3 linked regions of the Notamacropus eugenii genome follow. The protein of the gene in region 2 interacts with the protein of the main gene of each other region in a biochemical or structural test. Links are inferred from orthologs where the notes say so. Each region holds a gene or a part of one and is shown on either strand. Other genes may lie near its edges. The genes, in order: RAD54B, RAD51 and FBH1.

The links.
Region 1: the proteins of RAD51 (region 2) and RAD54B form a complex in vitro, tested with the Homo sapiens proteins (2 studies listed by BioGRID). The link is inferred for Notamacropus eugenii from reciprocal best matches to the Homo sapiens genes RAD51 and RAD54B.
Region 3: the proteins of RAD51 (region 2) and FBH1 form a complex in vitro, tested with the Homo sapiens proteins (2 studies listed by BioGRID, with this or other methods). The link is inferred for Notamacropus eugenii from reciprocal best matches to the Homo sapiens genes RAD51 and FBH1.

What each region holds. Positions count from the first base shown.
Region 1 is NC_092875.1:158,615,741-158,626,737, forward strand, and holds the start of RAD54B (DNA repair and recombination protein RAD54B), read left to right. Parts: upstream 1-3,782; 5' UTR 3,783-3,878; coding exon 3,879-3,913; intron 3,914-10,997. UniProt on the Homo sapiens protein: Involved in DNA repair and mitotic recombination. May play an active role in recombination processes in concert with other members of the RAD52 epistasis group.
Region 2 is NC_092878.1:26,856,302-26,859,901, forward strand, and holds the start of RAD51 (DNA repair protein RAD51 homolog 1), read left to right. Parts: upstream 1-1,413; 5' UTR 1,414-1,436; intron 1,437-1,984; exon of another isoform or gene 1,985-2,201; intron 2,202-3,600.
Region 3 is NC_092874.1:209,713,944-209,724,940, forward strand, and holds the start of FBH1 (F-box DNA helicase 1), read left to right. Parts: upstream 1-3,748; 5' UTR 3,749-3,820; coding exon 3,821-3,821; exon of another isoform or gene 3,822-3,830; coding exon of another isoform or gene 3,831-3,831; intron 3,832-10,997. Other genes in the region: ANKRD16 (ankyrin repeat domain-containing protein 16), read right to left, coding at 1,621-1,979. UniProt on the Homo sapiens protein: 3'-5' DNA helicase and substrate-recognition component of the SCF(FBH1) E3 ubiquitin ligase complex that plays a key role in response to stalled/damaged replication forks.

The sequences.
Region 1 (10,997 bases), on a different chromosome or scaffold from region 2:
ATTTGCCATTCCTTTTAAATATACAACAACATTATTATGTAAATGTCTTTTTTTTTCCTTTTTTTCTTCCCTCCCCACTCCCTCTCCCTAGAGATGGCTACTATTAGACACAAATAGGTGTTTATATGTATATGTAAAACTATTCTATACTTGTGTTTATCAGTTCTTTCTCTGCATGCAGATAGCATCTTTCTTCATGTCTTTTATAGTGAATTTGGTTATTTATAGTAGACAAAATAACTTATTTACTCAAAGTTGTTCTTAAGACAGTATTACTCTTACTGTATACGTTGTTCTCTTGATTCTGCTCTTTTCACACTTCATTATTTCATGCAAGTCTTTCCATGTTATTCTAAAAAATCTTTGCACTAATCATTTTTTGCAGCACAGTAATATTCCATCATAATCATCTACCACAACTTATTCAGTCATTCCCCAATCATGGATATCGCTTTCTTTGCCACCACAGAAAGAGCCTCTATAAACATTTTAGAGCAGAGGTTTTTTTCCTTTCTGCCTAATCATCTTTGGAAATAGACCAAGTAGTGGTATTGCTGGGTCAAATGATATATATATAGATAGATAGATAGATAGATAGATAGATAGATATAGATAGATCAAATGATATATATATATATATACATATAGATAGATAAATAGATAGAGAGAGAGAGAGAGAGACAGACAGACAGACAGACAGACAGACAGATAGTTTGGGCAAAGTTCCAGATTGCTTAACAAAGTGGTTGGATCGTTTCACTATTTCACCAACAGTGAAGTGTCCCAATTTTTCCACATCCTCTCCAATATTTGTTTGCTCATCTTTCAAGCTTTAGTTCCTGAAATGTGGCTTTGTGCCAGAACCAGACTCTGCCCCTTACTGAACTTTTGGGTAGTGTGGTCTGTCCTGCTTAGTTTTACCTAGGTTCTTTCGCTGACTGATTTTCTTTGGTTAGGTACCTTAAGGTCTTTGAGGTTCAGAGTTCTGGATCATGAGAATATTAGGGACTTGTCCTGGAGAGTCTTAAATACTACAGCCCTGGACTAGAGATTCTGGGGTCCTTCCTATTAGCTTCTGACCTCCCAGGGCTTTCTTTGGGGAGTACTTTGTTCTACATACTTTGATACACAGATTCTCAACTCTGATGTTTTCCAAAATAGTTCAATGTTGTATGTTGATGACATATTTTTTCCTCCCATACCCAGGAAGATTCTTTTAATTGATTTGGTTGAGCTCTAGCTGACAGAGAACAGAAGAAGGGATAAACTTTAGCTCTGTTGGATAAGGTCAAGTATATGAACCATAAAATCTCCCATGAGAAATGCTGAGAGAGGACCTTAGGAAATATGACAGGTTCCCTACCCTAATATCATATTTCAGATACACTTAATCCTGCTCATGGCAGGCTACTAGTGACAGTGGCAATACTCTAGTATTACTTCTCTTTTGGGCATATATAGAATCTCACTAAATTCACTTCCCTGGAAGTGGTCCCCAACTGTGAATAGATATATTTACCTACTTAAACTAGGCCTTTCTTTATTCTCTACCTTGAGTCTTCTAAACCTTTTATTCTTTCCTTATGAGAAAAATGGCCATTCATAGGGAGTCATGGTCCAAATATGTAATGATAACCTTCTCCCTCTGACCTACTATTATTCTTGCTTGGCTCTTGAGAATACTCTCAGAATTAGCTTTTTCCTTCTTCCCCAACCATTTATAGCACTCAACCTGAGAGCTGCTTGGTAATGCCACAGATTTGCTTTCCCATTTTGTCTTTGTGACACATTTATCATTGTGCATGAGCTAAGAAGGGATCATGGTGAACGTTAAAAAAAAACCAAACATTGTTTTCCCCCAAAATTTGGAAGCACAAGCCTTTTGCTTTGTATGCCTAATATGCTAATCTCATAATTTGGGTAGACCTATAAATACCATATTCTCATTCTTAGCTATCATCTGGGCACCTTCCTAAACTTAACAGTGGATTTTTTTTAAACTCTCCAAGATTCAGTTATGCAAATTGAAGTGTATTGCTACTTGAAAGGCTGGCTGGCTCTACTACTGAATCTAAGAAACTTTTTACAAAACTTTAAAATTATTATAAACTTGATAGATGTCAGCAAGCATGATTATTTACACATACACAGAAGAATAAGAGTATGTGAAATCTTGAATCTCTGTTATATATTGCCTGGTTTTTTTAAGTATATAATAAATTTAATACTATAGTTCTAAAATTGTCCTGTTTACCTATGTCTCTGAATTTCCTTTTGCTGTCTTCTGGATTCAGAAAAACCCAGGTTCAAATCCTGTCTCATATACTAACTAGTAGTATGACCATGGGCAAATCACTTAATCTCTTTGATTCTCAGTTTCCTCACTGGAAAATGAGAGGTAGTCTCACTGATAGTCTCAAAGGTCCTTTTGAGCTCCATGTCTATGATCTTTTGAGCCTATGAACTACTGGGTTTGTACTCACCACCCCTTCATATTGATACCCACATTATTCTAGAACTCCCTGCTGCGTATTATTTTGGAATTTTTCACTCTATGTTCCATTTTCATCTTGGATCCCAATTCACCTTGAAGTCCAGGACATAATGGTTTTGGGGGTAGGAGGATATAGGTGAAAAAGTATTTGGAAGGGAAGAATGTTAGGAGAAGGGGGTGCTATGGGTGAAGAGAAAAGTGATTTACTAGGTAGAGGGATCTGAGTAGGAGTGAATCTGGGATACAGGATGAGCGAATGAAAAAGCATTTATTAAGCACTTAGTATGTGCTTAACCCTGAGAATCTAAGTGCAAAAAACAAGATAGTTCCTGGCCCTCAAGAAATTTAGATTCAAATTAGAGAAGACCACACATATTTGGAAACAGTGTTCCAGGAGGTGGATTGTGGTCTAGAAAATCAAGGAGATGGTACGTAGAGAATGATAGTGTTGATTTTTTTTTGCTACTACTCCCAGAATAAAGGCAATAAGAGAGGGATGAGAGGGGAGTGAGAAGCAGAAACATGGCAGGAATATAGCCAGAAAATATCTAGGGAAAGTAATTGTAAAAGATAAGAAGGCTGGATGCTGAAGAGGAACTGATGTTGGAGCCAAAATGGGCCTAGGGAGTTTGAGACTAGTATCAACTGAGGGAAGTGGGAGGATGAGCCTGAGGAAATTGATGGAATCAAATTTGACATGCGATAAGGTTTGAGGAGATTATGAATATGAGAAATGAAGAGATAGTTATATTTTCACAGAAATAAAAGAAGAACCTAACACCGAAAGAAAGAGTGAGACAACATAGCAGGACATAAGCAAGAAACTAGCTGGTGTAGATCAGAAGTGCAGTTTGGCAACAAAGATCCATTATTAGGTCAGAAGGCAAAGGCATTTACCCGTGGTTAATAAGCTCATACATATTAACCTTATCCTCTCCCAAGGTGGGAGCAGTGTATTTTAATATACATGTGATTCATGATGAGAGAGGGACAAGGGAAACACGAATGATGTGTGTACACCTCATAGCTATTGGAGGACTTTGGAAAGGATCTCATAGTTGGAAATAGGGATAAAAGCTGACTGTGCCCAGCACTTGGTGTGCATATGTATAGGAAACCAGCTCTTGCAAGAATGTAATAAAACACTTTCTTGCCTTCATTAGTTAAGGTCCTATTCCTTTGCAAGCATGTTTCTCACAATTTGGGGAGCTCATCTGGGATCCAGGAATCAAGGAGGGGAGGAGCCAGTATGGAGAATGGGAGGTATTATCTCATTGATTTCAGTGGCCCAGAGTATGGGCAAATGGTCCGCTCTCGAGACTGCCCAAGATCCTGAGACTGTTTGGGAAACTGAAGCCAGAACACTGAGATAAATCATTGGCACATGCCTGGCAACCAGGTAACTGTGCACAAATCAAGGTAAGAAAATTGGACTATTAAATATTACCTTGATGGTTGGGATCATTCTATAAGTCTGAGACTGAGTGTGTGTGACCAAGACTATTGGTACAAAGTGAGTGTGAAGCCTAGATCTGTTGTTCTGTCCTACAAGGGAAACACCAAAAGGGGTGAAACGGGGGAGTTCAATGGTCAGTCTGAAGTCTCAGAGGGAGGGTAGAATGGGGAATAAAGGAAGTAAGGCACCAAAAGGGGAGGATTCCCCTCATAGAAAGGAAGTGAATTCTTCTGTGAGCATTAGCATTCCTCCAGATAATCCTTTGGAGAGAAAGCTAAAATATTGGAAGAATATGTCAGAGGCCAAAGATAGAGATAAAAACAAAATGATCAGGTATTGTTAGTTTGAGTGGCCAAAGCAGAGTATTATATCACTGGCCATATGTTGGCCCAAATATGGGGCTGTTGAAGAATGGCTGTGTCAGGCTCTGAATGTTTTTGTTAATGATAAATAAATGATAAATAATCCTTCTCCAAAGAAGAGTCAGGTTACTTTGGAGAGGGAGTTTGACAACCAATTGTTCCCGCTCCAATTAGAGAACCAGGGTAGTGCTAAAACATACATGAGGGAAAGGGACCCTTGGAATTCCTTGAAGTCCCTTTCTCCCGCTTAATTGCTCCTGTCAGACTCCTCCTTTGGGAGAATTGCCAGGATAGATTTAAGTGACCTATGTAAAAGTCCAGGGTGTAAGGAACAAGAAGAGCCAGGAAAAAAGTCCGGTGTGTTCCCACCAAAGCTGGATGTTTTTTGATATGCTAGATTGAGGAAAGAACTAGAGCAATGCAAAAAGGATGTACAGAATCTCCCATTCCCTGAAATCCGAAGGGAGAGAGGAAGTGAGGGAACCAATGTACCTATTAAAAGAAGTGCCAATGGGGTGAGGTGAGATTGGACTTGTAAATGCACCTCTCACAGGTACTGAGGTCCAAAATTTTAAAAAGGGAATGAAATCTCTAATTGAGTACCCAATAGGGTTAGTTGAACAATTAGACCAGTTCTTAGGACTTAATTTTTACACTTGGCTGGAAATGATGTGTATAATGAACATATTATTTTAAGGGGAAGAAAGAAGTATTATTAGAAGAGCAGCCATTCAAGAATGGGAGAAGCAACACCCTCTAGGACTGGGAGTATGGCTGTAGAGCAGAAATTTCCCAATATAGACCCAAATTGGGATAACAGTAGAGTGGCTGATAAAGTAATGATGAGAGATCTGAGGGACATGATAATTAAGGGCATAAAGGAAGCTGCCCCTACATCATAAAACTTCTTTAAAGCCTTTGAGATAAAGCAAACCAAAGAAGAAAAACCCTCAGCCTTTTTGAAGAGGCTGAGAGATCAGATGAGGAAATACTTGGGAATGGACCCTGACCCCTCAATGGCAAAAGGATTATTGAAAGTGCATTTTGTGGCTAAGGCATGACCTGATATAAGAAAGACAGTACAAAAGATAAAGGGCTAGAGTGAGAAGCCATTGGAGGAACTATTGTTGGAAGCACAGAAAGTGTTTGTGAAAAGAGAGAAAGAAAAGCAAAAACAGAAAGCTAGAATTATGGTAACTACTGTGAATGAGATAATGAAGAAAAAGCATGAACAAGGAGGATATAATTGTAAAGGTGGAAACTGGGGGGCTGAGAAACAAAGGAGTTATGGAGGAGGAAGGGGCCATAGAGGGACTTTTCACCCTGTCCAGCAGACTGGATCTTTCCATTGTGGGAAACAGTGACATTTTAAGAAAGAATGTCCCATTCTGGAGAAGGAAGAAAGGATTATTCCCCTGATGAATTTTGAGGAAGATCAGGGGAGTCAGGGGTTTTCTTATATTAGGTTCCACTTGGAACCCCTGACAAACATCAAGGTGGGACCCAGAGAAGAGGATGTGGTGTTCTTGTTAGATATGGGGGCCGCTTGGTCCTCATTGAATTTCAAACCAACAGATATCAAATTCTCAGATCAGAATCTAACTGTTTCTGGGGTTAAGAGAGGGGTATTTTCAGTACCCATATTTGAACCAGTCAGTTTAATGTTAGGACAGAGGCAGGTCACAGAGAGTCTTCTCTATATCCTTGAGGTGGGAACCAACCTGTTAGGGAGATATATAATTATACAATTAGTCTTGAAAACAGATAAGAATGAGCAAATAATAATTGGGATGTCAATACTAAAAGAAGATGAGAGGACTATTGACCCAATAGTGTGGGCTAAGGAAGGAAACAGATGGAGATTGCAGATTGAGCCTGTGAAGATCACACTAAAGAATGAAGAAGCATTACGAGTGAGACAATATTCCATCCCAATGGAAGGAAAGAGATGACTCCAGCCAGTTTTGGAAAATTTGGTAAAAGATGGACTCGGAGAACCTTGCATGTCCTGCTTTTAACAACCCTGTTCTTGTCAGAAAGATGGTTGGAATGTACAAAATGGCTCAGTATCTGAGAGCCCTAAACAAAATTGTGATGATCAGACATCCTGTAGTTCTGAACCCTTATACCCTGTTAAGTAGAATTCCCTGTGAACACAAGTGGTTCAGTGTAGTAGATCTGAAGGAGGCCCTCTGGGCCTGCCCACTAACTAAAGAAAGTAGGTACTTGTTTTCATTTGAATGGGAAAATCCCTCCACAGGTAGGAAACTACAGTATAGATGGACTATACTTCCTGAGGGATTCATAGGATCCCCAAATTTATTCGGTCAGGTATTGGAACAGGTGTTAGATAACATCCTGCACCTCTAAGGGACAACATTAATACAATATGTGGATGATTTGCTAATATCAGGAAAAAAGAGGAAAGGAGTGGCAGAGGCCATTTGAGTTGCTGAACTTTTTAGCAGAATAAGGATCGAGGGTATCTAAAACTAAACTGCATTTTGCAAAAAGACAGGTGAAATATCTGGGGCACCTAATCAGTGAGGGACAAAGAAAAATCAATCCAGAAGGAATAGAAAGAATATCTCTACCTAGAACTGAGGGAATTAAGAAAGTTTCTGAGTTTGATTGGTGTTGTAGGCTATGGATTGATTCTTATGCACAGATAACTAAAAGCTTATATTTAAAGCTACTCACTGAGGAACCAGACACAATAAAATGGACTACTGAAGAGAACAGGTTATTTGAGGAATTGAAACAAGATTTGATTAAAGCTTCAGTGTTGGCCCTGCCCTCTCTAGAAAAGCCTTTCCATTTATTTGTTACTGTAGATCAGAGTGTTGCTCTAGGAGTTTTGACTCAGAATTGGGGAGGCCAATGAAGACCAGTAGCGTTTTTATCCAAAATGTTGGATCCAGTATCCTGAGGATGGCTGGAGTATGTACAGGTGTAGAAAGTCAAGTTTTAAAGGTGTAAGTAATAAGTATATATAATTCTATAGGTTAAGTTTTCACACAGTCCAAATCAGATGGCCCTTCAGCCTGACGATAGATGAAAAATTGCTAAGACAAGATAAAGGTCCTGATCAATCAACAATGAATGAAAGGGGGCCCAGAAACCATAAACTCAGGGGCCCTAGCCAAACTGGCTCAAACCAGCCAGGGTTAAACTCCGGTCAGTAACTACTAGCTACTGTACATGCTCAATGAACCTTATGCATATTATCTTACCCGCCTCGCATATGATTAGGACCTCATTAAGTGACTGTGCATTGCATGATTAGGAAGGGGGGACATACTAAGGAGTTACATGAAATGGACGTATAAAGAAGACTGTGACCCAGAAGGACCAGGACTAATCCTCATCTAGAAGGGAGGAGTTGCAGCTACTAACCCTGTAAAGCTTGCTTTTACTTCTGTATTCAGTACATTCTCCCTTCCTGAGGAGGTGTACTTGCTTTTCTGGAGAACCGAAGGAATAGCCCTTAGCCTCTCAAATAAACTGCATGAAACTCCAACTTTAGAATTGAGTCTGGGGTCTTTATGACAGATGGGCCTTGATAGTAAACACTCTGCATCATATAAGAACTATTCTCAATCAGCAGGCTGGAAAGATGGCTCACAGATTCTAGGATCTTGAAATATGAGGCTATATTGATGGAAAAGGACGATTTAATTCTGACCACTGAATCTTGCTTAAACTCAGCCTCCTTCTTGTCAAAAGGAAAAACAGATGGTGGCGAAAACTTGGAACATAATTGCCTAAATTTTATAGAAATATTATAGAATATCAGTCTGACTACTAAAACCGTGGTTGGGATAGCTGAAAAAGGGTGGACACATTATACTTGAGTCAAAGGATTCAAGGGAGAGCCACCAACCACACCTACTGCTCCACTACCCAACCAGTGGAGGGTAGAGCCACAAATGTCACCATTGAAATTAACCTTGAAAAAGAATTGATTGATGAATTTGGATGAGTAATCTTTGAGATTGGGGCATTATTTGTGATTTGGGTGATAATTGTTGATTTTTGGGTCTGTAGGGACCCCAAGAAGTGTACTCCTTTCGTATGACAGAAGTGGTATTAGTGATAGTACTGCTAATATTGCTGGAATTATTATTTATAAGTTGTATTTTTCCTGAGAAGATAAGAGGAAGGCTGAGAAAGGAGGGGAGATAGACACCCATAATTTTAGATTTGATCACAGCAATGGGGCTAGGATGGGTTAACAAGAACTGTGAGTCAATAGCAGAGATGTGGACACCAGTAGAATGGTGGAAAGGGGATAGGGGTTATCCAATTAATCTCCAAATTGAGGTCCTAAAGAAGGAAACTCCTCAAACTGTCTGATTTGATGCCTGCCAAATAATTGAATTTGGATATGTGGAAAATCAAAGGAGGCTGACCTATTGTGCTAAGTATGTATGCCCAGAAACCCACTTAAGCTTTAATAGGGGAACATGCCATACATGGAATCAGGTCTGGATCACTACCCAATTCAATGGGTGGACCTTCCCCACTGCAGATAGGGCAGTACAAGATAAGGTTAGCTTTCTCAGTGGTCCAGACCCAGGATCCCTTTGTGGGATTGCAGTAAGGGGAATAGCAGGGCAATTGGATGCAACTAGTCGAATTGCCTGGGAAAATAGGATGGCCTTTGTATAATATTAGCTGAAAAAGGATGAGTGTGTAAAATGATAGGAGGGAATTGTTGTACCTTTATTCCTAATTGTGGGAATATGAAATGTAACCCCCTAATCTTGATCATCACCAGTGCAGATGTTCTAAAGTAAACCTCTCCTATGGATTGGGGTTGGATGTCACTGGGAAGGACCCAGTGGGGAGATTTAGGATAATAGTTAAGGACATAAGGAAAGAGGCAAAGCCAACCCCCCCACTTTTCCCCCAGCCCAAATGTGACCAGCTCAGAGGGTGAGGTAAGTCCCAGTCTCTACTGGAATGACCCTGCAGTAGTAAAGATCATTGAGGTGAAAGATCTGAAGCAAACTACAGAGATAGAAACAGGACTTGGGGATACTAATGCTTGGATGGAATGAGTAAAGTATACTGTTAAGAGCCTAAACAAGGGCAACTGTTATGTTCGTGCCATGGGCAGACCCACTGCACAGTTAATGAGTGCCCTTTCCTTTGGAAGTGGAAGAACATGAGGCTGAGTTTAATGTATGATATGGCTATTTTAAAATAGCACACCGAGAGAAAATTATAGAACGTTGTCCTACTTTTTTCCTCTTGTGAAGCGGGGCAGTACTAAAGCCATCCCTACTTCCCTCCCCAGACTTGGAAACCACTCTGCTTGTCTCATGAAAGGGGGAGAATCTCCAGAATCTGGGAAACATGACATCATGCATCAGGGTTTGGAATGTTACAAAGGATAGTACAGGCAATTTCCCTCATATAAATATTCCCCCATGTGGACCTTTGGTGGTAAAACTTTCAGATCAACCCTTCCTGAGAATTGGGCAGGAACTTGTGCACTTGTCCAATTGGCCATCCCATTCATCCTAGCATTCATATCTCAGGCTCAGAATGGGCACCCTGAAGCTACAACCAGGAAGAAAAGAGACCCATCTGATACTCCACATAGGTAATTTGATGAAAGGATATATCTAGACAGTAGAAATCCCTCAGGAACAGGAGTCCCTCGAGGGGTGCCTGATGAGTTCAAAGACAGGAATCAGGTAGCTTCTGGATGTGAGTCCTTTTTGTTTTGGTGGGTCACTATTAACAGGAATGTAAATTGAATAAACTACATATATTATAACCAGCAGAGATTTATAAACTAAGCTAGAGATGCAGTAAGGGAAATAGCAGGGCAATTGGATGCAACTAGTAGGATTGCCTAGGAAAACAGGATGGCCTTTGATATAATATTAGCTGAAAAAGGATGAGTGTGTAAAATGATGGGAATTTGTTGTACCTTTATTCCTAATAATATAGCACCCAATGGAACCATAACCAAAACTCTACCCTATCTGAAGAGTTAGCTCAGAGCTCAGGTATTAACAATCCTATTGCCGGGTGGCTGGAATCTTGTTTTGGCAAATGGAAAGGAATGGCAGAATCTATTATCACATCCCTAATGGTAGTGACTGGAGTCTTAACTGCAGTAGGGTGCTGCATTGGACCTTGTGTTAGGGGATTAGTGCAGAGGCTAATCAAGAAGGCTCTTACTAAGCCGATGCCTATCTAATATAAACAAAATAACCTGTACTTCCTAAGGAAGGACTCCAAAAGAAGGATGGAGGATGAATGAACAGTTAGAGGAATTAAAAGAAAAGAGGAGGAAATATTAGAAATGAAGAGATAGTTATGTTTCCGCAAAAATAACAGAAGAATCAAATATCGAAAGAAAGAACAAGGCAACATAACAGGATATAAGCAAGAAACCAGCTGGTTTAGACTAGAATTGCAGTTTGGCAACAAAGATCCATGGTTAGGTCAAAAGGCAAAGGCATTTACGCATGCTTAATAAGCTCATACATATTAACTTATCTTCCCCCAGGGTAGGACCAGCTAATTTTAATATACATATGATGTATGATGAGGGAGGGACAAGGGAAACTTGGATGAGGTGTGTACCTCATAGTACCCAGCCGTTGGAGGACTGGGGGAGGGTTCTTGTGGTCAGGAATAGGGATAAAAACCGGCTGTGACCAGT
Region 2 (3,600 bases):
CAATCTTTTGCTTTTCCCTTGGGAATACCTGTCAGGAGATGATAAATGATTCTAAAAGATCTGAGCACTTTTCATTTATGATTTCTTGAAATATAGTATCCATGGAATTTTTTTTAATCATGGTTTTTAAGAGTCTTAAATTATCCTGCCTTGACCTATTTTAAATATCAGATATCTTACATTTTCTTTTACAAAATCTTTTGATTTTGTGAAGATTTCTTGATGTCTAATGGAGTCATTGATATCTTTTTGATCTAGTTTTCATAGATTCTATTTCTTGACTTTTTAAACTAAGATTTACTCTCTTCTAAGCTACTTATTCTCCCAGTTCTTTTCTCAAAAGCTTTTATTTCATATTTCTTGTTTAATTTCCTTTAGGTATTCATGTAATTTTTGTGGAAAATCCATTTTTTCTTTTGAGCCTCTTGTAATTGGGACAGTGGATACAGTGCTGGGCCTGGAGTCAGAAAGATTCATCCTCAGAATTCAAATCTGTCTGCAGACACTTACTAGTTATGAAACCCTGGATAAGTCACTTAACCCTGTTTGTCTTGGTTTCCACATTTGTAAAATGATCTGGAGAAGGAAATGGTAAACCACTCCAGTATCTTTACCAAGAAAATCCCAAATGGGGTCACAGAGTCAGACACCACTGAACAATAACTTTTGTAATTGTTGCATTTTAGTATATCTCCAGATTTGTAATTTTTTAATATTGATTGGTGTTTTCATTGATTTATTCATCTTTGGTTCCTGAACTGAGGCTTTGTGCCAAGGCCAGGCTCCACCTCCTGTTCAAGTTTTGGTCCGGATGATTGACCCTGCTTGACCTTGCCCTGAGTCCCCTGGGTTCCTACACTTACCTCCACCTCCAGGGATTACAATCCCTTGGATCTTTGAAGTTCAGACTGCTGTATCTTCAGGGCCCTTTCTGGCACCTCAGAGCCTCTGAGCCTGGGGTGTTCCATTATGAAAGCTACGGTGCCACCCTGGTAGCTGCCCACTGCTGCTTCCCAGGGTATCACTGTTGGTTTCCTGACCAACCTGGGTCTTTTTTGTAGAGTTCTCCCTTACTGCCTCTGAACACAGAGCCTTGCAAGCTGTACATATCTCTGTCCAGTCTTTAGTGTTAAGTCATCAAGCTTTACTAAGTGCCTACTATGCACTTTTGCCAGGAGTGAGGGATAAAAACAAGCAAAAAGAAGAGTCTTCGCCCTCTAGAGACTTTCATTATAATGAAGGAAGACAGCACATAAAAGGGAACTGAAAAGCACGGGATGGGAAAGTGGGAGAGATACCTTCTTAGAGGCACGGTGGCAAAGTCTAAAGAAACAGAACCAGAAGGGGAATGAAGGCATGGTTGGCCTGGGGAGGAGTTCTGAGAGGGAACGGGATCTTCCAGGTTAAGAAGGCCACAAGGGTGGAAGGAACCCAAGGTGAGAAGGTCCCTGAAATATAATAGTAAAGTCTGGAGGGTCAGAAATTGAAGCGAGAGAGAAATGAGAGGCTGTCCTGGGCTGCCACTGGCTTTGCTGGCAGACTCCATTTCTATCGTCCTCCTACTTCTGGCTGATCTCTTATGTAGTTCCGGGGTAGAAGTAGTTACTTGAATTTTTCATTTGATTTATTGACCTGGATTCCACACAGTGCAAACTTCACGGTTTTGCTGGGATATGTGAGAGCTGAGCAGCCTGTCTGGCATCCAAGAAGCCATCTTTATGCTTTTCTGTGCTTTGCTTTCAAGACTTTTCAAATGCTCTAGGACTGATCTCCATTTTCTCAGCACTGGCAGGATATTTATAACAGATGGAAAGTGACTTGCCCGACGTGAAAGAAGACCTTAAGGGGTCTTGACTTTTTAACTACCCCACCACACTGCTTCCCTGCAGGACAGCCTTTTGGGTGAAAGGATGAGCCTTCTATGTGGTGCTTAGCCTTTCAGGTCTTGGAAGGGTTTAAAAGCAGTTAGACCCAATCTCAGTGGAACATTCTAACTGTTACTGTCAGTTCCAACTGTCCCTGACTATAAACTAAGAATAGATCTCTTCTTTTTACAATTTCTCTGACGCCTTTTGTTTCTTCTCTTACGTCTATTTCAAGTTTTTGTACATTTCACTTGCTTCAGAAAAAGTTCCACCAGAAGGTGAGGAACTTGTTCAAGGATCACGTGCTGGTAAAGAGCTTCCAAAGTAAGGGAACATGTAAGTTTCTTATAGTGTTTCTAACCTGCCACTCCACTGAATCTACTCTCTCCAAAGTTACTAATGATTCCTTAATTGTTGAATCTGGTCATTTCTCAGTTCTAATCCTTCTCAATCTCTATGCTGCATTCATCATTACTGACCACCCTCTCCTGCTAGATACGCTGTCCTTCCATGGCACCACCTTGTTCTCCTACCTGTCTGATTGCTGTCATTTGTCTCCTTTGCTGGTTCATCACCCATATTATGTATGCCTCGAGAGCAGGGATTGATTTTGTTTGTCTGGTTGGTTTTTGCTTTTCTTTGGATCTGCAGCGCTTAGAGGAATGTTGCGCACATAGTAGGTCTTTAATAAATGTGTGTTGACTGACTGACCACATGTTCCCCAACTAGGTTCTTCCTCTAGACTCTTCCTCTTGGAAACCTCATCAATTCCCATGGATTTAATTACCATCACTGTTCAGATAACTCAGATAACTCCAATACCAGCCTCTTTCCTGAGCTACTTTATCAATTGCGTAACGGACATTTTGAATTGGATGTCTCATTGACACCCTGAAGTTTGACTTATCTGAGGATAAGTTCAATTCAACCAGTGGTAACTGAGTGACTGTGGCACAGTCAAGGGAACCCTGGGCATGAATTCAGTTTCAGACACCATGTGACCCTGGGCAAGACTCTTACTCTCTGTTTGCCTCAGTCTCCTCGACTGTAAAATGGGGATAATAACAACACCTTTCTTGCAGGGTTGTTGTGAAGATCATTGTAAAACACTCTTAGTACAGTGTCTGGAGCATAGCAGGTGATATATAATTGCTTATTCCCTCCCTCCTTTCTGCTTTGGGGCTAAACAATGGCAGGTATACAAAGATGAAAAAAAAGCCCTTGCCCTTAGGGTTATAATCTAGTTAGGAAAACAAGACCAATGTTCAGATGACTACAATACAAACTGGAAATATAAGTGCATAATAGAAGTGTGAAGCAAACGGTCCAAGGATGGAGAGATTACTGAGGGGTGGTGAGATATTGCAACAGGTGGAGAATGGGGAGAAGGAGATGCATTCCAGATGCTGAGGGCCATTGATCAAAGGCACAGGGATTGTCATTGGAGAGCAGTCCAGTTTCACTGAAATAAGTAGACTTCCAGTCAAGGTGGCAGAGCAGCCCAGTTCCCTCATATGTACTCCAGAAAAGATAAAACAAAAGCACCAAGCCAAATTATGATTAAGAAACAGAAAAATCAAGTAAGTTCCTTCATCCAGCCTTGGGTGGCAAAAAAAGAATACCCAGAAGACCATAGGCACTGAGGCCAGAGGAGCTAAGCAAGGCAAGCACAGCTTTCAGAGACTTTCCCGCTTAGACAGGAGTGCTCCAGCCAGGAAGCTTCAGGATAGTCAAG
Region 3 (10,997 bases), on a different chromosome or scaffold from region 2:
GTGTGTGTGTGTGTGTGTGTGTGTGTGTGTGTGTGTGTATCTCCAGAGAGTGCCTGGTACATAGCAATTTTTTAAAAATGTGTGTTGCACTGTTTGATTGTCCTGAAATGTTATGCATTACAGTGATCTGTAATTTCATTGATATGAGGTAGCCACTTTGTGGTGGGCTTCACCTGACTCAGGCTAATCCCTTGATAGTTTAGGTCCAATACTGGAACAAAATGAGACATTTGTAAGTCATTCAACAGTTACAAAAGACAGTTTATTTGGTCATGGCAGGAAAAAGTGCATCCAACAAGGATATGCACAGAAGATACTTTGGTTGATTTGTCCCGCAACAGACCTAGCATCAGAGTGGGGCTGAAGGTCTTTGTAGATTTTTGTATTTAAGTGACCAGGGAGTTAGGTATGTAACCTTGGCCTTTAGCCCTTAAGCCATTTAAGTCTTCATGACAGTTTCAATACCTTTTTAAGGAAAAGAACTAGCCCAGCCCACATGGTGAGGGTCTCTGGTAGCTTTTCCTGTTAGCATACTCTTCTATACAGGTCAGCATTTTGTTTGTCAGTTAATATTCCTAAGACAGTTGCCTTGAACACCTAAAGATTTAAGGACTTACTCAGTCATACAGTTAAGTATGTATGGTTCCAAGGCCAGTTCTTTATTTTCTATGCCACTCTATTTCATTCATAAAATCTAGAGATTTAGAGATGGAAAGAATAAATTATGCCTACCAAAATTAGTGTAATATTTCAACACTTCTGTTATAGGAGTGCTTCCATTTTATAGGATCTGGGCTGGTATTTAGTTTATCATTCCAACTGTCTATTGTTTATATCTCTGATTCATAACATGAAAAATAATCCTGGAAGGCAAGGATTTCTCAACAGAGGTTTGCAGACCCAGCACAGTGGGTGGGGGAATGAACCAGTCTCACAAAACTTGGTAGGGAAAAATGGCAAAGTCAGAAAATGTAAATTGTAATTGTAATGGTAAAATGTAAATTAGAAAAATAAATCCAGTTAATAAGGTGATTATCCAACCAAAAAAGCCGAGAATTTACATGCACGTAGTGCTCTAAGGTTTGCAATGTGCTTTCCTCACAATAACTTGAAGACTTAGACAGCACGAGTATTATTATCTACATTTTACATATAAGGCAACTGAGGGGTCTGAAGGCTAGATGACTTACCCTGGATCATCTGATAAGATGGCATTTGAACAGAGATCTCATCTGTAAAACAGAACAACACTTGTAGTACCTATCAAAGTATCTGGGGTACCTTGTTGTTAAGAGGTGAAGGAGATGAAGGACTACAGGCATGTCAATTACTCTCACTACTACGTTATGTTCTTTGAACGCCAGATGTTGGACTCTTTAAGGATAAGGGAAACGTTTTACATTTTTCTTTCACTTCTCCGTTAACTCTGCCTGCACAAGACGCACAGCAGGCACTCCAGAAGCAGTCGTTTACTTGCCCTGTCTACTGCATTTTTGGAAAAGGTTGTTGGGGGCGGGATGCTCGACTGAACGATGAGCCAGCAGTTCAGGGAGACAGAAGCCATAGCCTGTCTTCAGGCAGGGCTTCGCCTACGGACACCTCCAGACCCTTCTCACCTACCAGTCCCCCTTCTTCAGGCAGTCCACAGTCGCCCCTCTTTTCAGCAGGTACAGCACACAGTCCCGGTGTCCCAGGGAGGCCGCCTCATGCAGCGGTCGCTTGTAGTCCCGGTTAGGGGCCTCGATGTCCAGCTCCCACGCTTCCACCAGGTAGGCTAGGATGTCCCGATGCCCGTGCCGGGCCGCAGAATGTAGGAGGGTGTCACCTCCCCTGCCCGGGCACGCGTTCTTCACGTGCCAGCTGCGGCCGTGCTCCGCTCTCCCAAGTTCCTCCTGCAAGGGCCTGAGCTGCCCCTCCTGGATCAGCCTGAAGAGCCGTTCCTGCAGCTGGGCTTCCTCCACGCGCCGGCGGAGGGCCATGAGAGAGCCGCCGCTTGGACTCCGTGGGAGGCTCCCCAGGGGCGCGCGGCGCTAGCGGAGGGGGAGGGGAGGGAGTCCGGGCGGCCTCCCCAGCCTGAGGCGCCGCCTCGCGGCCTGCGAGCCTCCTCCGCAAGTCCTCTGGCGGAGCCCAGGGAGTACGAAAGGAGGGAGCGCGGGGCTCGAGGCCCTTCCTTCCTTCTGCGCCCGTTATCGCAGGACTTTGGCCGGAACCATCGCTCCCTGAAGGCGGTTTCTGGGAGCCGGGGCTGGGACTTAACGGGGTTTCATTCTAGGAGCGCTCAGACTCCTCCTACTCCTCCCAGCCGCCTCTGTTTCCCGGGATGTGTCAAAGTTTAAAATGGCATTAAAGGGACGCCTCGCAGGGAATGTGTGCGAGTACATCAGCGTGGACAGGTGTATGTCATCGGGAGTGAGCAAGGATGGGACAGAATTCGTAGCATCCTAGATCGAGAGAGGAAGAGACCTCCAAGGTCTTTTAGGCCAACCTCCTGATTTTATAGATGATGCAAATGATGCTGGGGGAGGAACTAACAGACTTGACTGGAGTCAGAGTTCTGTACTTTAGGAGTGTATGTGTAGAATGGGCAGCGTATTTTCTTTCCTTCTCAGTGGGTGGGGAAGAGAGGAGACAGGGTGGAGGGAGTGAGAGAATGTGGAACTGGAAATTAAAAAAAAAATTCTATGCCTTTACGCCGTGTATTTTTGGATTTTTCTATGGTCTCGGGAGAAGGAGCTACTACTGATATTCATTAAGTGCCAGATAACAATGTATCAAAGGATTCAAGGTTTAAACTTAGATCTTCTTCATTGCCAGTCTGGCATTCTCAATCCTAAGCAATAATTTACTAAATTCCTTTTGAATGGAATTTGATATCCATTCTTCTGGTACCAACTTTGAACCCTAATTTCCTCATCTGTGAAATGCAAGGATTGGATGATCTCTAAGCATCCCTCCCACACTAAAAGTAAGATCTACTCCCTTAGCTCTCAGTGGAGTCAGATATACCTGGCTTCAAATCCTGCCTCATACACGTACTAGCTGAGCGACACCTCCCTCCCCCCATCACTTTAGTCAGTGAGCCCCTAGAGCCAGGATTTTTTTTATTTTTATCTTTACTTTTTTGCCTTCCCCCCCAGAATTTGGCACCACTGGCATATAGCAGGCTCTTAATAAATGCTTGTTGACTGACCATTGGCAAGTGACAGCTTTTCTGTACTTGTTTTCTCATCTGTAAGACAAGAGGGTTGCTTGCCTCTGAGGTCCCTTCCAGGTCTAGACCTAAGATACTACGATCCACCTGGTCTAAGACTGTAAAGCAGTTCTCCTCCTTCCGCCAAAGTAGAGAACCCGAGAAAATTCTCTTTTGTCTCTAAGATCAGAATGAATAAGAAATAAGAGGAAGAGCCGAGGCTTGTCATTGGGTGGCAGTCTGCATCGGCATTTCTATTGGTCGAGAGGGCAGTCAATTAATTCCATGGTGGAGTGTTTTTTGTTTGTTGGTTGTGCGCGTATGGGTTTGATGTGGTGGTCGTCGTAATTGCATCGGCTGGAGATGAGGGGGTGGGATTTAAGGGAGGAAGTCACAGGAAATCCGAGTCCTACTTTGTGATGTAGCGTTTTGGGAAGTTTGGGACCAAGCCGGAAGGAGCGGAAGGATCGAAGGGGCGGAAGGGGGAAAAGGCCGGAAGGGGGAAAAAAGGCCGGAAGAGGAAAAGGCCGGAAGGGAAAAAAAGGCCGGAAGGGGGGGAGGGGCGGGGCTGTTGGCAGAGGAGGAGGAGGCGGCATCTGCGCGGCGGGAGCAGCCACACTGAAATGCCCAAGTCCGTGAGAGTGGGTGCTTTGCGGGTGCGGGCGGGGACTGGGACTGGGGAAAGAGGTGGAGGGGATGGCCAAGCCCGCGCCTGTTTGGCAGATTTAGAAGCTGAACTACGACCGCCGGTTTCTGATCCCACGGATGCGTTTGTTTATTTCCACGGGCTGTGTGACCTTAGAAGAGTCATGTTCCTTCCCTGGCCTGTTTCCTCCTCCGTAAAATGAGGGGCTTGGATTAGATCTCAAAGGAAAGAAAGCCCCTTTCAGCTCTTAACATTCTGTGATTCTACGGAAGACTAGAGAAGAGGTGGAGGGGTGGAAAGCTTTTACGGAGCTTTTAGAATGTCCTGGACTTCGCGGAATACGTACTCGAGCCAAAAGAAAAATCTTTGCCCTCAAGGAGCTTTCGTTCTATTGGGGAAAGACTAAGCGGGTGGGGAGGAGGTGGGAGGAGGACTCTTGTGGGGCACGGCTGGGAGGGAAAACGCCAGTTGGTAGGCCGAGACCCCGGGGATGGCCAGCTGGGCGGGGCTGTAGGAGCAGGTGGGGAGGCCGCCGGGACTGAGGGCAGCGCGGGATGAGACTGGCTGACGTGTGCCTGGCAATGCAAAAACACAGCCGGGAGGAGCTGCATGGACCAGGAGACCGAACCCCACCATCTTCTGGTGTCTGAGTAGCCGTGCTTTCCTTTTCGTTGTGGTGGTGTCTTCCGGCTGCGCTGCTGCTCTCCCTACTCTGAGGGGTTTCTCACAGCTGCCATTTCTCCATCTCCGTTTCTTATTGAGAGAGAGAGAGAGAGAGAGAGAGAGAGAGAGAGAGAGAGAGAGAGAGAGAGAGAGAGAGAGAGAGAGAGGAAGGAGATGAGGAGAGAGAAGATGATGGAGATGGAGGAGGAGGGAAGGGAGGGAGGGAGAGAGAGAAGGCACTTGAGAGTAAGTTGCTGTGGTCCAGGAGGCACCCTCCACAAATAGTAATTTCTCAGAATTAGATAGAGATTGGGTGAAATAAGATTGGGAGAGGCCCGAGTTCGGTTTTGCAGTTTCCACATTGTGAGCCAGGGCTGGATATTTTTTTCCCTTTTTATCATCTTAGTAAAAACAAAACATAACTACTTTGCTTCCTTCCCTTTTCAAAAACCTTCATTAATTGCTTACAGAATAGAATACAAATGCTTCAGCATGACATTGGAAGCTGATTAAATGGTGAAAACTTATCTTTCCAGGACTTAGTTTGGTTTGGTGTTCAAGATAGTCCCTTTCCTGGACTTACTCACTTTTCTTATCCCCTCCCCATTGTACCTTCGGTACCATTCTGAATCCCTACTTCCAGGAAGGACTTTAACTCCAACTCTGCCTGTTAACATCCATTCTTACCTAGTTAAGCTTCTGTCTCTTCTATCACATCTTACCTTCTCTTCTGTCCTGCCCTCCATGTCATATCTGGCAATCACAGGCTTGTATTGAGCATGTAACTGTGTACTAGGCACTGTAATAAGTACTGGGGGTACAAAAGAAAAGTAAAAACAGCCTCTGACCTCAAGGAGTTTATATTCTAATTCTCTTATGTTCCAAGTATGTGTATATATACATATATATGCATATATGTATATACTAATTTTAGTATATGTAGATATATGTACCATTCTCTTATATTTTACTTCTCCCATATTCTAATGGGAGAGACAGCATGTACGCTCACACGTAAACACATACACCGGTAGGTGAGTTTTTCCTCAAACTCCCATTTTGGGAGAAGGTCCAGATCAACCATCCCACCTTCTCTGTATTTAGCCACCATGCCCCCATTGGGTACCTCCCCTTCCCTCTTTTTAGGATTCACCTTTATGTATGTTTTTTCCTCATTAAAATGTAAGCTTGTCAAGGGTACCCTCAGCATTTATTAGAGTGCCTGGCGCATAATAGGTGCTTAATAAATGCTTTTTGCCTGTGTAGAAGGAAAGTAATATTTGAAGGGAAAAGAACTAGCAGCCAAGATGGGAGAAGAGGAAAGGCCTTGTGCAGAAGGCAAGGCCTTGTGCAGAAGGTAACAATTGAGCTGAATCTTGAAGGAAGGTATACTAAGAGTTCGAAGTGAAGGAGAGCATTCTAGACATGGGAAACAATACAAAGGCACAAAGGAAGAATTGTGTGCTTTTTTGGAACAAAAAAGCCAGTCTAGCTAGTATAAGTAGAAAATTAGGGACTTTTCCAGGAGGTATTGTGGAGATAGAAGATTTGACAACTGATTGAGCTACATGGGTTGAGGAAGTGAGGGAAACCTAGGTGGTGTAATGGTGATAGAGCCCTCCACAGGAATTGGAAGTTTTTAAGAAGGATGAGTTTAGGAGGGAGGGGTAAGATACTGAGTTCTCTTTTACATATGCTGAGTTCATTATTCCTATGAAACATCTAGTTCAAAATGTCCAGTAGGTAGTTGATGTGTATTTGTCCTTTGTTGCCGAAGAAGACCATGCCGTCAGAGAAATAATGACATGACTTGCACATGACTTTGTTTTGAGTGAGGGAGGGCTGATAATGCTCAGGAGAAGAGAAACTGTGGCTGGATGAAGTAGATTCAGGAATCATTGCTAGGTGGTAAAGAGAATATGAATCCTGGATTTGGAGCAGGGAAGATCTGAATTCAAATTGCACCTCAGATAATTTATAAGCTTTGTGACCCTGATCAAGTCACTTCATTTGAGCCTTAGTTTTCTCATCTGTAAAATGAAGATAATTGCCCCAGCCTTACAGGGTGTTTGTGAGGGTCACACGAAATAACATGTAGAACTCTTAAAGTACTATGTAAACGCTAACTATCATCTGTGTAGAGGGGATAATTGAGGGAGAGCTGGTGTAGGAGCAATGAAAGGACTGCTCTAGGAGAGCTAGGCTGCACCGACAACTAGCTGTGTCACCGTGGTATTTACTTCTGTCTTAGACTATGTGTAGAAAAGGAGAAAATTATAGCCTGCCCTGTTTACTTCACAAATTTATGAGGAGCAAACAGGATAGTACGTATGTAAGTAAATAGGTTATTACTATTGCTGCCATTTTAAAGAGTCACTGTAAAGTTGGTAATCATAAGGATTTTTTGAATGAGACTTTTGAGATCATCTAATCTAATTTTTTGGGCATCTTCCTAACTTCAAATTTGGCTTCAGATACTAGCTTTGTGACCCTAGGCAAGTCACTGAGCTTTGTTGGCTGAAATTCCTGATTCATGAAATCAGCTGGAGAACCTTTGCAGTATCTTTGCCAAGAAAACCCCAAATAGGTTCACGGAAAGTCAGAAATAACTGAACAACAGCAATCTAATTTTGGAATTTTGTAGACAAAGAAACTCAGAGGGGAGATGACTTGACTAAGATCGCAGTGACAGAGTTGGGACTCCATCCTCCCAGTCTAGTTCTTCCATTGCCACAGAATTTTCATAAAGTTTTTCAATAGTCTCCATCCTCACGTGTTGTTTCTTCATAATACTTAGAAGTCCCACCTTCTGACATCTGATCTGGACCTGGTCCTTGAGCAGTATTTCCTTGTACTCTAGATTCAAACCCCCATCCCTTTCTTCTCCCATCAAAATTTTATTGACTTGTGTATATATCCTCCTTAATGAACTGTTTTCTGCTTTCTAGGACAACTAGCTAATCTGTTAAATTAATTTATCCAAATATGTTAATTGTGTCAATTTAATAAATATTTTTTGAGCATCAGCTATGAGTACTCTTCTCAGCACTAGGAGAGATGCAAAGATGATAAAACTTTAAAATGCCATATAAATGTGAAGTAGTGTTATTATTGCTAGCAGTAACATTGGGATAGGGAATTAAGGACTAGACTTGTGATTTCATTGATACTAGGAATTCCCAGATGAGAAAACATCTACCAATACAGTCTCTGCAACTTAGAGTCTTAGAGAATTGCCCAGAATACCAAAAGGATAAATGACATACTTAAAGCTATATGACCAGCGTGTGGCAATGATGAGACTTGACTTCTTGGCATTGAAACTAACTGATCCACCATGTCAGGTTCGCCACTACTAATAAAACAGAACATGGTGAAACTCTGAACAAAGGGGCATGAAAATCTGCATACTAGATCTGTATCTGACACTTACTGGCCAGGTGACATTGTTATGTCACTTAATTGCTTTGGGACACATTTTTCTTATATATAAATAAAAGGATTTAAAATTGATCTTTTAAAGTCCATTCCAATTTTAACATTTTAAAACTTTATTATTCTATACAGATCGTGCCTTCAAGTAGTTTGAAATCTGGTTTAAAAAATGACATGTATACAAATAACTAATGGAAGGTAGAATTTGAAAGTTAAGTAAAAAGTACAAAATGCTTTGGAAATTATGTGAGGGAGAAATTGATTTTTGCTTATGGGTTCAGGGAAGGGATGATTCATGTTAGTCAAGTTTGAGTTGGGTCTTGAAGGTTAGGCTGGGAATTTGAAAGCCTAAGTTGAGTTGTTTTTTTTTTTCAGGGGAGTAAGTGGGGAGGAAGGCATACCATTCTAGGAAATAGGATAATCAAAGGCAGGAAAGCATGGGGTATGGCCAAGAACAGTAAATTGTATACTGGGTTCATGAAGGAATTTTGAACATTCTCTTAAAAGTATATTTTGTTCTTTTAAAAAAATTTTCCTCAGTTACATGTTAGAACAATTTTTAACATAAATTTTTTAAAATTTTGAGTCCCAAATTCTCTTTCCCCTTCCTCCCATCTTGAGAAAACAAGCAATTTAATAAAGATTGTACATGTGCAGTAGCAGCTAGGTGGCCCAGTGATAGAGTGTCATCTCTAGAGTGCCAGTCAGGAGGACATGAGTTCAAACCTGGCTTCAGACAATATGTGTCTTTATGACCCTGGGTAAGTCACTTGACCTTGTTTGCCTTAGTTTTCACATCTGTAAAATGAACTGGACTTGGAAATGGTAAACCACTGCAATATCTTTGCCAGGAGGACCCTAAACAAGGTCACAAAGAGTTGGACACCACTGAAATGACTGAAGTATACATGTGGCAGTCATACAAAGCATTTCCATGTTACCTATGTTGCAAAAGAAAAAAGACCAAAAAGCCCAAGAAAAATAAAATTTAAAAAAGCATGCTTTGATGTGCATTCAGACTCCATCAATTCTTTCTCTGGAGGTACATAGCGTTTTTCATCATGAATCCTTTAAAATTGTCTTTGATTATTGAATTGCTGAGAAGAACTAAGTCATATACAGTTGCTCATCCTACAGTACAGCAGTTACTATGTAGTGTTCTGGTTCTAATCACTTCACTTTGCATCAGTTCATAAGACTGCATAAATCTTACTTCCCACTAATCATTTGTTATACCATAACATTCTATCAAAATCATATAACACAACTTGTTTAGCCATTCCCCTATTGATGGACATCCCATCAATTTCCAATTCTTTGTTACCACAAGAAGAGCTATTATAAATATGTAAATATAGGTCCTTTTCATTTTTCTTTGATCTGTGGGATACTGACCTAGTAGTGGCATATAGCTGGGGAAAAGGGTATGCAGTTTTATAGCACTTTGGGCATGGTTCCAAATTGCTCTCCATATCCCCTCCGACATTTGTCATTTTACTTTTTTATCATTTTAGCCAGTCTGATAGATGTGAGATGGTCCCACACTGTTGTTTTATTTTATATTTTTCTAATTAATAGTGATTTAGAGTATTTTTTTCATATTGCTATACATAAGCTTTAATTTCTTCTGAAAACTTCCTGTTCATATCCTTTGACTGTTTAGCAATTGGAGAAATGACACACATTATAAATTTGACCCAGTTCTGTAGATATTTGAGAAATGAGGCCTCTATCAGAAAAACTTGGCTGTAAAATTTTTTTCCTCAATTTTCTGTTCTCTAACTTTGGCTGCATTGGTTTTGTTTGCGCAAAACTTTTAAAATTTAATATAATCTAAATTATTTATTTTACATATTGTAATGCTCTCTAACTTTTGTTTGGTCATAAATCTTTCCTAATCCATAGATATGCCAGGCAAACTATTTCCATGAACCTTTACTATATGTTGAAATCATGTAGTCATTTTGAATTTATCTTGGTATATGATATAAAATGTTAGGGTGTATCTAGTTTCTGGCAAACTGCTTTCCAGTTTTCCTAGCAGTTTTTGTCAAATAGTGAGTTCTTGTCCCCAAAATCTTGGATCTTTGGGTTTTTCAAACATTAGATTATTATGGTCATTTATCGTATGTCTGATCTATTCCACTAATCCACTGCTCTATTTCTTAGCCAGGACAAGATTATTTTGAAGATTGCCTCTTTGTATTACAGTTTGGCTACACCACTTTCTTTCACATTTCTTTCATTGATTCCCTTGATATTCTTGATATTTTGTTCTTAATAGATGAATTTTATTACTTTTTTTTGCAGCTGTATAAAATTTTTTTTTGTAATTAGTTATATTAATATATGATATTAAGTCAGTTAATTTAGGTAGAATTGTCATTTTTATTGTATTTTCTTGGCCTACCCATGAGCAATTAATATTTCTCCAGGTATTTAGATCTAACTTTATTTGTATAAAAAGTGTTTTGTAATTGTATTCATATAATTTCTAGGTTTTTCTTGGCAGATAGACTCCCCTACAATTATTCTAAATGGAATTTCTCCTTTTAGCTCTTGCTGCTGTACTTGGTTGGTAACATATAGAACTACTGATGATTTCCTTTTTTATATACTTCTACCAAGAGTTGGCTTTGCCCCCTGGTGTGACCCTGACAGGGTCCAACAGAATATTGAAGGCCAAGATTACAGTACTTTTAAGGGCCTCATATTGCATGTCAGTCAATAAACACAAGTGCCTACTACATGCTAGGTCATTATGAGTACCTCTGCCATTCTCTTTTAACAGTCACCTAGTAGGAGTTGACATTAACCCTTACTGTGATTCCAGCAGGTTTGGGTTGAGATGCCATTGACTTTAGGCCTTTCTAGATATCACAGTATCTTCATGCTGCTCTGGTGCACACACAATCAGAATACTCATAGAATCTTCTTTTGTAGCTCAGGGCTGAATGGACAAGTTTGCTGATTTTATTGAATATTTCTTTTGTCTGGAGTCTTTTTCATCTTGTTTCTCATGGTAACTAGGCTTTGCTTGGCACTTTTCATGTCACTATCTTT